Linked DNA regions of Ovis aries. The protein of the gene in region 2 purifies or fractionates together with the protein of the main gene of each other region. This does not show direct contact. Links are inferred from orthologs where the notes say so. Each region holds a gene or a part of one and is shown on either strand. Other genes may lie near its edges.

Region 1 (7,631 bases), on a different chromosome or scaffold from region 2:
TAAGAAATCAGTTGCTAACAAATTGTCTATCACTGACTCCCGTATTCATAAATCATGACTTCTCACCTAACAACAACAACAAAAAAAACCTTCAATTTTAATACTCTAGGTGTTTCTGGTTTCCCAGTAAGAGGTAAAAAGGCAGAATGGACAAAATAAAGTGCTGAGTCAAGAAAAACTGGGTTTAAACCCAGGCTCAAACTAAAATTAGTTATATGTGATTCCTTAAATCACAACTTCCCCGCGGGTCTCAATTTCTTCACCTAAAAAACAGGTTATGAGTAAAAATGACATGATGTGAAAACCCCTTATTTATGGTGCTTAACGTTCATAAAACAGGCATTCCCATTTTTACAGGGGAAGGCAGGGGAGGGGGTCGTCTTTGTTACCCTATTCTATGGTAACTCCTTGTGGCTAAAGAAACCACTGATGACTCTTGGCACTTAATCCAAGTGATGATTTTGCATCTGTATCTATTAACAATGCGTTCCCATTTGTATTATTCAGAACAACTTTCACCTGTGTCCCATAGTTCCACATTAGTAAGGCAGGCTGAGAAGTAAGGCTCTGAGCCCCAACATTAAAAAAAAAACAAAACCCTAGACTGTTTCTAAATTCCAGCTGTACAAAGGATTCATTGGTTTAGAATAAAGGTTTGTGAATTACTTCCAGGCATATAATTTAGTAATAACTAAAAAATACAAGATTAAATTTTACCAAGATTGGGCTTAGGGTATGAAAGAGCAGTAAATACACAAAAACTCCAAGAACAGAATAAGGCAGCCATGGCTAAACAATAGGAGTTCATTTGAAAAAGAACATGGGGACTTCCCTAGTGGTCTAATGGCTAAGATGGTGCACTCTCAATGCAGGAGGCCCAAATTCCAGCCCTGGTCAGGGAATCAGATCCCATATGCCACAACTAAAGATCCCACAGACTGCAACAAAGATCAAAGATCCTGCAAGATCTGGCACAGTCAAATAAATAATAAATAAATAAATAAAATATTTTTAAAAATAAAAAAGTGAATCTATTTAAAAAATTAAGACATGGGTCTGAGTTGATGTGTGTTCAGTGGCCAAGAATACGATGTGGTTATAAAAAAATTAATTACTTTCATCTTACATGAATTTATATAGGGTAGGAAGAGGCAATACACATGGGCATTCATCTACTAATCTGTGACTGGGAAAACCACACTTAGAAAATTAGGCTCTAGGCAATGCATTTTAGAAGGACTTAGGCAAAAATGAAACTTTTACAGGGAATAGTGGCTTGAAGTGAAAGGGAACTTAAACATATCTCATGAGAACCATTTGAAAAGAAATAGGAATACTTGAGAGAAAGGAGGCACCAGCAATATCAGGGCTGACATAAAAGGAAGAAAAGTGACTTGTTTTTTATAGCGTTAAGTAGAAAAATTCTAAGACCTACAGGTAAAGTTACGGTCAAACACATCAGTTCATCATATGACCTTTTTAAGGAGTAGAATTACAACATGGACTAGAGGGTCTGAAAAGCTTCTTTTGACTCCAAAATTCAATTATTTCAGTTTCCTCTGACTCCATCATCGTATAAGGATTTTTCTTTTTACTACAAATTCTTTCATCACCATCATCGAAAAACAAGCCTACTTTTCCTCGCCCATCAATATTTCACTGCTTTCTTCAAATACTGGATGTACCTAAGGCTGCAGAAGCACTCGTTACAAAAGACCTTGTCCATTTTCAGTGCCAGAATTCTTTGACCACTTAAGGAAATTCACCTGACAATCACAGATTATCATCACAAGGTTATTCTTGGTAGGAATGCCTGAAATAGCCAAAGACTGAAAACAAATATCCATCAATAAGGAACTGGTGACACAAGTCACAGTATATCCACAAAGGAATTCTACCGAGCCCTTCATATATCTAAGCATGCTTATAGGAAAAAAGTCTCCAATACAAACTCTTAATTTAAAAAATCAAGTGAACAGAGACTTCCCTGGTGGTTCAGTGGTCAGAACTCCAAGCTTCCACTGCAGGGGTCACAGGTTCGATCTCTGGTTGGGGAACTAAGATCCAAAGTCAAGTCAACAACTTCCTAACAGAAAAAGAGGGCGGAGGGGCATAGCATGTACTTCTTCATGCCGGCAGGATGGATAAGAAATCACAAATGACTCTGCTCTGGGTAAGGCAACCAGAAGAACAGAGGATGTGGAAGGGGAACTTAGTCTTCACTCTATGCAGCTTTGTATCATCTGAATTTGAATGCATACATAGATTTTTAGGTAGAGCATATAAGTCTCAATATGTTTAAGAAATTATTCAATAAGACATATGAAGTAATGATCTACTGGTTTTGAAAAATAGTTTCTTAGAGATACCTAAATAAAAATTTAAAGAGCCAAATCAATTATTTGGATGATCACCTAACTGAATTTAAGAGCAACAGCTCAGAAAGTGCAAGTAATCATTTGGAAGCATGTTGTATGTATACAGAAGACCAGCCAGATGAGGTTGAGTAGGGCCTGCCTCTCAAAGTGCCAGGCTGTAAGAGTATCCAACATTTCTACTGTCCTACATAGTGATAAAACACAATCACAGTCCCTTCATAGTCCAAACAGAAACCTGCAAAGCACCACTCAGCCGTCTTCGACACACAAGAATGCAGGCTGGCTGGCATTTTGTTGCACTCCCAGAGCCACTGCCCATCCCACAACCAGATCCCACTTCTTTGTATGCAAAGAACCCCATGGAATATATAAAGTATTTTCTGTTAAGTTCCTAAGTGTTAATATAAAAGTAGTATCTGGGCTGAGAAAACACAGATTTATTATCTTTAAAGTGTTTTACACAAAAAACATAATAGGTAATGTGACTAAACAGCTTTCATTGAAATACAAATGGAAACAGAGCTATTCCACCCTAACAACTTATTTCTGAATAGGAAAGGGTGGGAGAACCACCATCAGTCACCACTTACTGTGTACTCACTCTGAGCCAGCATTTTAACATGTGTGATCTTATTCATTTCCTCAGATGTAGGCTGTAAGAACTTTCAGCATCTCCATTTACAGACCAGACTATTTCAGGATAGAGACTGATCAATTTGCCCTAATTCACAAAGCTAAGAAGCAAGGGGCAGGATTCAAATTCAGATCTCTAACCTTAAAGCCTGGGCTCTTTTCTACTGTCAAACATCAAAAAGATTCAAATTAAGTTGTTTAACTTAATCTGCTTAATAGGAAGACATAGTCAAATACCCGTGCTGCACTACATCAGAACCTCAATACCCTTAAGCATTTGATGGTCAAAGCTGTAAATGTCAACACTTAGAAGTCTCCATTATTTAGTTCTTGGCTCCTCTTCCCACATCTGTGTATTTACATTGAGATTTTTGAAAAGTCCACTAGAAGTCCCTAACCGTGTAGAAGTCAATGTTCTCATATGGAAAATCTGGCCACTATATGAGTTTTATACCAAAGTAATTTACTCTTATTTTTAAAAGTTGTTGCAAAACTTCTAGAGTTTAATAAATCCTCATTAAATGACATACACATAACAATCAAATTTAATACATTTTTAAAGTACATGGCCAGGTTCTTACTAGGAAAAGTGCAAGTGTATGAGAACCATAACCTAGTGCAGAGGTTGCCTCAACTCTGGGGCCACCTGGTTTGCATTCCAAAGCCCGCTCCACCACTTACCAGCTGTGTGATCTGGGGCATGTTACTTAACATCTCAGCCCATTTCCACATCGATTAAAAAGAAGAGGATAATAAAAAATAATTATTGTACTGTTGTATTAAATCTAATAGGACATAAAACTCTTCAGATGTGCTCAACAAATGTCAGCAATTATTACCAGAGAAATTTTACAAAGAGGTGAAGACCAAAAACAACCTCAAAATGTATCATATTATACCACCTTTTCGTTGGTGAACTGCTGCAAAACTGTTTTCTCCTTTGCCAATTAAAACGTATTCGTCTTGTGGGCTGGTTACAAAGAGGTATTCATTTTGCAAAAATTCATCAAGCCATACACTTATGATTCGTGCACTTTTCCCACTGAGTTTTAAAGAAATCCATTAGTTTGGGGTCCAAAGAAAACCCAGCGTCTACATTTAAGTTCAAGAAATGTCAAATGTATCTGGTGCATCCTACAAATATCCTTAATCTCAGAACAGATTCTCTGTCCGCTTTTAATTCCACATTTATACGTCAGAAACCACCCTGTAAGTCAGTTTTGAAAATAAAAATCACCTGCCACATCACCCAAAGGCTTAATCGATTACTTGTTTATGTTCTACGTATAAGACGCGAAAAACTAGGAGATTCATGTTAACAGCAAAATTTATGCAAAATAAGAGTTGACAAAAACCCTTACTTAGTCACTTCAGGAAGCCACTGAACGGTAAGACTCGGCCACTGAAGAGCATGGGTCATAACCAGGTCATACAGAAACGGTGTATTCTTCTTCCAGATTTTATATTCTTCATTGATGACACGCTCCTCCACAGTATCTTCAAACACTGAAATTTGGACAAATCCCATACGATTAAGTGTCTGAAAGGGATCGAAATCTATACTGGAGGTCACCTCGAGATGGCCACACCTTATCTCCTCTTTCTCTTAACCACTAAATTGGACACGACCAACTCACTGGTCTTCCAGAACGCGAGGAGAATATTAACACCAGGAAGCTTATTTTTTTGCAGTTTGAAATCAATACCGCCTGCGTATACAATATTGGGCAATTAATTACATAGATATCGCAATTGTTTTGCCGGTTACAGCTGTTCGCACCTGTTCCAAGATGACGACCCGTATGTAAAGGGGCTCCCCGACCCACCCGGCGAGACGAATCCACGTGTAGCAGAAACGCATCGGCCCGCTCCCCCCATCCCCCACCAGAAGAGGCCTCAGCTCCCACGAAACCCGAGCCGGCAGCCATAAGTCGGCGGGTTCCAGAATCCCCCGGACAAGGGCCGCGACCCCGAGGCGGTCGACGCGCGCGCGTGGAAGATGGTGCCGTGCCCGCTTTCCGGCGACGGAGGCCGCCTCCGCCCGGGTGCAGAGCAAGCGCCGCCGCCAGAGGGGGGTGACGCCGGGGGGTAGCGGGAAGGGGGCCCAACCGCGGCCCCGCGCCTGGCTCCGGAAGTGCTCGGAGCCCTTCGCGCCGCGGCCCCGTCCCGCGTAGGCCCCTCGAGGCGCGCGCCCTGCCTCGCGCCCGGCCCCGCCCCCTGCTCCTCACGCCAATTCGCGCCTTTCGCCGGCGCGTGCCGCGGCCTCGCACGCTCACCGCCCCCCGCCGCGCGCCGCCCCGCGGGGCCTCTTACTCTCTTTACTCGCCATCTTGCGTCGGGTCGTTCGCCCCTCGCCGCCGCCTCGGACTCCCCTTGCTAGCCAAGAGCAGCCCAACCACAAGCGCTCCTGCCTTTCCCAGGCGCGTCACACAGTTCTAGCTCTCGAAGCCTGAGCTCCGTCTTACAGCCTGGGAGCTCCCCAGACGCTGCGTCCTTCTCTGCTGCCTCCTCCCCGCTTGCGGGTACCGAGGTCTGAGGCGCTCTTCTCTCTCTCTCCAAACTTGGAACGAGACTTTTCAACCCGCGCCTCCCAGCCCGCCCAGGCAGCTGAGCGCAGGCGCATCCGCCCTGGGAAAAGTGAGAGGCGGTGGCTTGGGTGGGCCTCGGAGCCAACGGCTTCGTCTTTTTGACCAATGACTGGCGGCAGGCAGGTTTAACGCGGCGTTCGGAGGCGGGCTTTTGGGGGTGGGTGGGGCGTTCCGCGGCAGGAAGTTGGCGAGGCGCAGGCGCGAGGGCTCGCCTGGCGCTCCCAGGGCAGGCCGCGGGGGCGGATGGGGGCGCGAGGGGGTGGGGCGAAAGGAGGCGCGGCGTGCAAGCTGCGTGGGGGCTGCGAGCCCCGGGGCGGCGAGCCCTGGGGCCGCGGGACGTGGCTGCTTGCTGCGGCTTTGGCGGTGGGGGTGGGGGGCTGGGGGGCTGGGAGGCTGCTGCCGCTTAGCCAAGCAAAATCTCAGCGCTAGAGAGAAAAATGGTTTCTAGTCTCGAGAGACTACTGTGCCCTCAAAGTCTCCCTGACAGTCACGGACATGCATAAGTCTGTGCACTCTGAAAGTTCTCCCTCCAGCCGACTGGCCTTTTCTGGGGCCTGGTCGAGGCGAGGTGGGATTGTCGGAGGCAAAGGGGGCCTTTAGCAGAGGCCGCGGGCGTTTTCCGACTGTTCAAGCCGCTGGGCCTGCCTTGTAGGCTAAACCTGCGGCCTGTTCAAGCACAGGCCGCCAGCGCCCCGAGGCTGATTTGAGTTTCGTCTTTGTTAACAAATTCGAGTCTATAAGATGATATTTGAGCCCTGTCGTACTGCAGAGGATTTTGTTCCTGCATTGCCATTCTTGTATTCTTCCTAGCCTTGGGCCTTGCTGAGTCATTTGTAACCTGCGGGGGTCCCAGGGTGACCCCACCCTAGGCTGGCGAAGCTGGAAAGAACTGGGTAGAGCTGACCTGGGACCGGCTTGCCTGAGCCTTGCTTTGTCCTGGAACTTGGTAGCCCCTGAGGGGTACGCAGGGGTGAGGAGAAAGCAGGCTGCAAGGCCAAAAAGGAATGAAAATGAGGGCCAGGAGCAAAGGGGACGGGCTAGGGGGAGGTGGCCGAGGAGCCTAGCGCAAAGGCAACCTCAGTCTACATCCAGACTCTGAGAGGAGGCCCTCCCTGCAAAAGCACCCCTGCCCCAGAACACTTGCTGCTGTGCTATTTTCCAAGTGCCTTCTTGCAAGCGACGGTGGAGATTCTCAAAAGAAATCGGGCAGTTGCTGCTCTGATGCCCACTTTTCTGATCGGGAAATAAACCCAGGCATTCCGTGGCAGAACCACTCGTATTACCTTATATAGAAATTTACTGTCTGGTGTCTCTGGTTTCCGATATGATACAATTCATTATTATAACGCTCTCCCTTTCATGTCAGGCCCAGGAATGTTAGTGACTGAAGCTGGGGAAGGGAGGAGCGCTGGAGAGGGAAGAGGGTTGGAAGGGTGTTTAAACACAGCCCTCTTGTTCTAAAACACTGGTTGGTAAATGTTTTTTTTTTTTCTAAAAGGGGCCAGATAGTAAATATTTCAGTCTTTGGGGGCAAGTACTCGTCAGTGTTACAGCGAGAAAGCAGCCCTAGACAAGATGGGTGAACCTGGCTGTATTCCAATAAAACTTAATAGGCACTGAAATGTGAACTTCATATAACTTTCACGAGTCACAAAATGTTCTTTTGATTATTTTCAACCGCTTGAAAATGGAAAAAAAATTTTGAGCTCCTGGGCCCTACAAAAACTTGGTGGCAGGTTAGATTTAGATGGAGGACTGTAGTTTGCCCACCTTGTTCTAGAATAATTGAAGGCTTGGCAGCTGTTTTCCAGTCTCCCATTAATATATTTTACTTATTTTCTGATGGGTAGGCATGATTTCTAAAACCTATTAATGTTTAAAGAGTTGAAAGAAATCTTTCCAGATGATGATTTTAAAATCTTTATGCTGTCCACCTCACTAAGTGTCTGAGTAGGAAATACAGAACAGATTATTTTGGGAGTTTGTGAAAATATTTGGGTGCTATCATACACTTAATTCAAAAGTATCTGGT
Region 2 (7,183 bases):
ATTAGAGACCCAGAGTGTTAACCACTGGACCACTAGGGAAGTCCCAAATAACTTTTTTTTTTTTTAGTATTTATTTATTTGGATATGCAGGGTCTTAGTTTCAGCATGAAGGATCTTTTAATACTCACTGTGGCAAGGGTTATTTTTTAGCTGAGGCATGTCAGATCCAGTTCCCCAACCAGGGGTTGAACCTGCGCCCCCTGCATTGGGAGCACAGAGTCTTAGCCACTGGGCCACCAGAGCAGTCCCCCAGATCATCGTTCTTTTGACAACAGCGTGCTGCCTCTCCTGCTTAATTTAGCTTGGTTTGTTACAGTTGTTTATGTTAAATAACTTTTAACCATTTATTATGGCATAATAAAATGTTATAACGAAACTCTGTGTTATCAACAGTCACGAATTCACAGCCAGTCTTGTTTTGACTATATTCCCACCCTCTACCCCTCCTGTTTTATTGTGAATCAAGCCCCAAATAGCCAATCATTTTCCATAAATATTTCAGTAGGCATCTCTGAAAGATTACTACTCTCTTAAAGAAAAAGAAAAAAGAACTAGTGCCTCCATGGAACCCAAATATTAAAAATAATTTCTTAATATCATCAACAAATTCAGCGTTCACATTTCTAATTGTCTCCATGGTCCATGACAATTTTAAGTTTGTTCAATCGTTTTAAATCTACAGGTTCCATCTCTCTTTTTTTTTTATCTTTGAAGTTTGATGTTGAAGAATAAACATGCGTTTATGTGTGTGAAGGTCATGTGTGTTTCAGTCTCATTAGGCTTCCCTGGCGGAGAAGGCGATGGCCCCCCACTCCAGTGCTCTTGCCTGGAAACTCCCATGGACGGAGGAGCCTGGTGGGCTGCAGTCCATGGGGTCGCTAAGAGTCGGACACGACTGAGCGACTTCACTTTCACTTTTCACTTTCATGCACTGGAGAAGGAAATGGCAACCCACTCCAGTGTTCTTGCCTGGAGAATCCCAGGGACGGGGAAGCCTGGTGGGCTGCCATCTATGGGGTTGCACACAGTCGGACACGACCGAAGTGACTTAGCAGCAGCAGCAGCAGGCTTCCCTGGTGGTTCAGTGGGTAAAGCGTCTGCCTACAATGCGGAAGACTCGGGTTCGATCCCTGCGTCAGGAAGATCCCCTGGAGAAGGAAATGGCAACCCACTCTAGTACTCTTGCCTGGAAAATCCCATGGACTGAGAAGCCTGGTAGGCTACAGTCCATGGGGTCGCAAAGAGTCAGACACCACTGAGGGACTTTCCTTTCCCTCAGCAGACGGAAAGTTCGGTAAGGACAGAAAAGGTATCTGTTCACCTGTGTCCCCAGGACCTCTGGTCGGTGTGGCACATCACACATGTTCAAAACATGTTTGTTGAATAAACAGTCTCTTGCCTCTTATTCCTGAATATGACCCCAGGAAAATAAAGCACTTACTTAAAAAATGAAAAGTTTGAATCTCAGAAATTCATGTAAAATCACATTCATATGATTAGAAAAGGAAATAAAAATAGGTTGGCTTATTATAGTACTTGTGTTACTTTCCATTCCTTTACTACTCATTAGATACTAAATGACCGTCTGCCAGTTGACAGCAGTTATATTTCTTAAGAGTACCAAGAGCACCGTGGTCTCAGCAAGTCTCCACTGGCTTAATGAAGCCATGGCTTAGGACCCGCAGAAGGCTCAGCCTTGTGCCCCCATCCTGGGTGAAAGCAGAGGGCCCCTGTCCTCCGTGAGGAGCAGTGATCTGGGAGCCACGCAGCTCCTCCGCTGAGCACTGCAGCACCTTCTTGGTGCCTGGCACACAGCGGGCCTTCCATTCACGGTTTGCTAAGGTGAACTGTCTTTCCTCATCAGCTGGCTGCTTCTGCTTTCGATAAGAAGGTAGCCCAGGAGAGGAGACCCTCATTGCTTTGGATCTTGAAACAGTACATTTAGGGTGAGAAGAGCCTGGAGAAGCATCAGCCTGCATTAGCCACAACATCTTGGAGAAGAAGGCAGCCTGGAAACTCTTCTAACTGGCTGGGTCCTGTGGTCTCTGCTTGGCAAGCTCCTGATATCATCTGTTATGGTAACAGATTCTTTAGAAACTGACTCCCTGCAACTCAACAGCACTGGTGGTGGTGTAGTTGCTAAGTCGTGTCCGACTCCGAGACCCCATGGACTGCAGCCCGCCAGGCCCCTCTGTCCATGGGATTTCCCAGGCAAGAACACCGGAGCGGGTTGCCATTCCCTTCTCCAGGGGACCATCCTGACCCAGGGATCAAACGCGTGTGGCCAGTGTCTCCTGCATTGCAAATGGATTCCTTACTGCTGAGCCATCAGGGAAGCCTGGTACAAGGACCAGGTCTTGTTTAAGGCCAGCTCCAAAACCTGCCTCTTCCTCACAGACCACCACGTCAGTCCTCCTGTTAGAGCGTAAATGGCAAAAAGGTCTGTTCTCACATGGTAACTCACTGGGAGCGGCTGCCTGGCGCTCCATGTTGAAAATGAGTGTTGTGATTGATCAGTGATGTCTGTCATGCACATGGCAGGGGAACATGCTGGCAAGAATGCCCCCAGTTTGTCATCTCTGTAAGACAGTGTCAGCCCTCTGAGGGCAGGGGTGAAACCCAACCCAGATCCCTTTCAGCCCTGGAAACGGGCCCAGCTCCATCCTGCTACGTCATCATCACGCTGCCTCCAGGCTTGGTGGGTCTCTCCCCCACAGAGATAGCTGCCTCCTAGTTTTTTAACATGCTGATAGAGGACACTGTGCTTACACCGAAAGGTTTCAATTCCGATTGCCTGGGCCCCTTCTGTTCCTAGCCCCAGAGGGACCCAGAGCTTTGGGCAGCCGGGAAATACACACAGGCCTGGGACCCAACCCTGCTCTCCCACCCCTCCTCAAGCTGCCTTCTCCATCCACCTGCCTCCTGCATGAGGGATGAATGCTAAAGAGGGTGACAGGTGTCATAAATGAGTTCTCATATAAATGTACAACTGGTAATCTCCAAGGACACGGCCAGATGCTGGAAGTTAAGAGACAGAAGGAGAGAAGGAAGAAAATGGAGGCAGGAGAGGAGAGTGGACCAGGGTGGGGTAGGGGTGAGGGGTCACAGGATACTCACCATGCTGTATGTCCTTCCATAAGACCCAGTATTTGGAATTATCTTCAAAAGTTACGAGGCAGCTCTGCTTAGAACTGCTGACCTGGAGCAGAGAGAGGGAGGAGCAGGGTGAGACAGTAGGTGGGGAAAAGCCACTGGAACACCGTCTTCCTCTCCCATCTCTGCCCCCACAGGGCACAGAGATCAGACTCCCTCCTTGTGCTCCAAGAATCCGCCTGCAATGCAGGAGACCTGGGTTCGATCCCTGGGTTGGGAAGAGCCCCTGGAGGAGGGCATGGCAACCCACTCCAGTATTCTGGCCTAGAGAATTCTATGGACTGGAATAGTCCATGGGGTCACAAAGAGTCACTCTGTGCTCCAAAAAGTAGAGCCAGGCCAGAAGGAGAATGGCGGTCCTGAAGGCTGTGCACGCCCACTCCCTGGAGTTGGGCATCGAGGTGCTCGGTGACGGCAACTTGGTGGGAATACCGAGGCCAAACGATCTCTCCAGCCTGATTTTGTTTTGTTTTGTCGGCTCACAGAGCACTTGTCTAAAGATGTCCTTAGGTGCCCTAAGGATGGCACCTGCTTTTGCAGGCTCTGCCTCCTTCCACTTTCAGCTTTGGAGCAGGAGGGCGCAGCAGGAATCTGACAGCAATCTCCCATCCTCCAGCCCTGGTCTGAGGCTGGGACCAGGGATGAGCAGAGAGATGCTAAGCCTGGGGAACTGGGGCCAGGGAGGAAGGGTTTACCCTCTTGATCTTCCCAAGATAATACAGTCCATCTGTCCACCGGCACAGCACATACTGGCCCTCCGTCAGCTTGGACATCAGGTCTTTGAAGTTGCTCTTGGCTTTTGCCAGGGACCCCTTGTTAGGGAGGTGGCTGTTGGCACCATAGGAGTCCCGAGTCCCTGGGTCCAGAGCTCGATTCTCCATCAGCTTCCACTGACACTGGAAGAGAAGGAACAGGATTCTTACTCCTTCCTTCAGGAGAGAGGGGAGGAAGGAAAGCAGCAACCATTCATGTAACCTGTGTGGTGCCAGATGCTTTTATCATCTCACTGGATGTTACTCCCATTTTACTGGATGTTATTCCCATTTTACAGGTCAGGAAACTAAAGTCTGGCAAGGGCAAGTGGCTCTGGGTTCAGAGGCAGAGCCATGGTCCTTAACCAGGTGAGCCGATTCTATACTCTGCATTTGCCCCACCCCTACCACGCAGCCTTGTACAGAGAACAACTCTTTCAACCAACCACAGAGCAAAATCCTCCTGCCCAGGTGTGTGTATGGGGGGGATCTGAACCATACCCCTTGGCTTTGGAGCCAGAGGTTTTATCCCTAAAGCAAACATACCCCGTGTTTTCTGAGTGGAGGGCCTTCTCCAGGAGAGCAGTGGGAGGTTTTCAGACCCCTGCTCCCTCTCCTGAGAGCTATGGAGAAAACTCACCTAGAAAGGAAAACTGATGGCTTATGAACTGGTATAGACTTGGCCATCTGTGTCTTCTGTAATCTCCTTTGCTGTTCTCAGTTATGGGATGATTTAACGGAAACCAATTCTGGGACATTTAAACTCACTTATGCTTTTACTCAGATGCAAATTGGCTCCAAGCAGTGAAGTCATCGCCATGCCAACCTCTCTACATCTGTCTCTCACCATCCTATGAAACCTACTGCTCCTGGTGCTTTCCCACTTCCTGCTAACAGTACTACTCTGGTCCCCAGAACAACCCAGCATCTTTGACTTCTCCAACCTATGAGTTGCCACAAGCAGCCAACTTCAAGCACAGTGATTTCTGGCTTCCTCTTGTCCATCTCCCTGGCCTGGTCTGAGTTCAAGCCTCATCTTGCCTGGGCCATTGATTTATTCATTCAATAACTGTTTCATGCTCACTCAGCTGCTGGGCACCTGGGACGCAGAATGGTACCACCTAGGCACAGCGCTAAACAGGCCACTCCCTGTCTTCCTGCCTCCCCACCAGACTCCTCTCCAGGGCCAACAATTTCCCATCTTCTTCTTCTCCCAGAAACCTCCTGTGGTTCCCCAAAGCCTTCAGTGGCATTCAAAGTCCCCCACCCCAAGGCCCTCTCCTCCTCAATCTGGGCTCACCTGGCTCCAGGCGGCTCCACACACTCTCCACTAAGCACAGCCCCCTCTGTTCCCTGCACCCACTGTTCCAGTCCCCTCCTCTGTCCAGGCGCTGGGCACCTGGTGTTATGATTACCTGTAGATTACAGGGAGACAGTCGTGTGTGTGTTTCCGTGTGAGTGCGTGTGTGCTCCTGTGAGGCGGTGTTTGATGTCTACAGCTCTGTGGCGGCGAGTAAAGGAAACGGAGCACATGCGTGTGCATGTCAAGGGCCCCGGGGCACGCAGGGCATTGCTGGGGTCTTCACTCTCCAGATGGTGGCGCGGCCGCATCCTCTTCCCTCCCCCCGCCCAACTCCTCCCTCCTCTCCAGGGCACAGCGCACAGGCGCCGGGCAGGGTGTGCGGTCCAAATCTCTGCCTTCTCCCTGCCACCTGGCTGCCGAGCGCTGCAAGGTCCTGCCCCGCCGGGCCTGGCCCGGGCCCGCGGCAGGTTCACAAACTGACACTTCCTCCCCCGCCGCGCCGTTGGGAGCAGGCCCAGTCGCCGCACCCCCCTCCCTGACCGGGCGGGGGCCCTCGGGTGGCGGGCCCCCCCTCCACCCGCGCCTTCATCCTCCCGGAGCGGGCCCCCGCGGGCTGTGATTGGCTGATTCAAACCCATCTGCAAAGAAATGCCTGTTTGCGGGTTCTCGTCGGCGTCCAGTTCAAATCCGCGGCCCCCGGAGCGCGGGGCCGGGCGGGGGCAGGAAGCAAGGATGATTCATGCGCCGGGGCCTCTCCCAGGGCGGCCGTTGGCTTTTTAAAAAGGGTGTTCGGGAGGGGAAAACGCTTGCAGAAGGACCCCCCTTCGGGTTCAAGCGCTCCGATCTTCAATCGCTCCGACGCCAGGCCTCCCCCCATCCCCATCCTGCTGCAGCCTGACTTCGGACGTGAGCAAAATCCCAAACGGCCCCATCGGTCTCCAGGCCCGTCCCCCCACCAAACAGGAAAAGTAAAGATTTGGGGCACGGGAACAGCGACCTGTCACACACGCCACCCCCCCCCCCAGAGGCTCGGGAACCCGGGCGGGGCTCCCGCCGCCCCGCAGACACCGTGCGCCCCTCTCCACCACCCCGCGCCCCCGCCCCCGGCGAGCATCTCCCCAGGACTCCAAACCCCCTCCCGGCCCCGAGGCGTTTGCCCCGCCAAAGTCCAGGGAAACTTCCAAAAGAGGGATGACTGCGGCGAGAGGCGAGAGCGGCGAGGAGTCCCCGGCCCGGGCCGGCCGCCTGCAGCGCTGAACTCACCGCGAGGCTGCGTGTCCGCCGGTCCCACTTGGAGTCTGGCCACCAGGCGCATCGGCGGCGGAGGCGGCTGCGCTCGGCCCGCGGCTGCCCGGCCGAGTGTCCGCCCGTGGGGCCGGGGTCGGGGTCTCGGCGGGGGCGGGGCGGGGCGGGGGCGCCGGGGGGAGGAGGGGGGCCGGAGCAGGAGGAGGGAGGGGCCCGGGCGCTCAGGAAGGGGCCCCCCGGGCGCGGGGCGCCATCTTTTTCGCGTTTTCCCGCGAATTATTGACGTCCCGCTTATGTAATTAGCGGGGGCCGCGCCGGCCTCGCCATTGGAGCCCGCGGTCGCGGGGCCCCGCCGCGCCGCCCGCCCGCCCCCGCCCCCGGGCCGCCCCCGCGCCGCGCCCCGGCCCGCGCCCCCGCGCCCGCGGGCGCGCATCCCCCGCCACCGCGCGCCCGGCGCAGACACGCGGCGCGGGCGCACACGGGCGCGGGGCCCCGGCACGGCCCCTCGGCGGCGGCGCGCGCGCGGCGCCCGGGCCGGCGCACACTTGTCGAGGAAACCCGGCTCTGCGCGCCGGGCGCAGACGTCAGCTGGCGGGGACACACAGCGGGGAGGTGCGGGGGCGCAGGGACGCGCTGCCCGGACAGACCTGGAACAACCCAAAGGGGACTAGCACAACAGAAACACACACGCGTCCTGCGCTTGCAGCGGAGACGGCCTGCGTAGAGACAC

What was found. Proteins that work in one complex are often made in the same cells at the same time.
Region 1: the proteins of PHF19 (region 2) and RBBP7 purify together in Homo sapiens (affinity purification with mass spectrometry; 3 studies listed by BioGRID and IntAct, with this or other methods). This does not show direct contact. The link is inferred for Ovis aries from reciprocal best matches to the Homo sapiens genes PHF19 and RBBP7.

Annotation. Positions count from the first base shown.
Region 1 is NC_056080.1:15,063,928-15,071,558, forward strand, and holds the start of RBBP7 (histone-binding protein RBBP7), read right to left. Parts: upstream 5,207-7,631; 5' UTR 4,940-5,206; coding exon 4,792-4,939; intron 4,518-4,791; coding exon 4,373-4,517; intron 1-4,372. UniProt on the Homo sapiens protein: Core histone-binding subunit that may target chromatin remodeling factors, histone acetyltransferases and histone deacetylases to their histone substrates in a manner that is regulated by nucleosomal DNA.
Region 2 is NC_056055.1:2,687,369-2,694,551, reverse strand, and holds part of PHF19 (PHD finger protein 19), read right to left. Parts: intron 6,722-7,183; exon of another isoform or gene 5,321-6,721; intron 5,225-5,320; exon of another isoform or gene 5,206-5,224; intron 4,546-5,205; exon of another isoform or gene 4,452-4,545; intron 4,050-4,451; 5' UTR 4,035-4,049; coding exon 3,849-4,034; intron 3,200-3,848; coding exon 3,118-3,199; intron 1-3,117.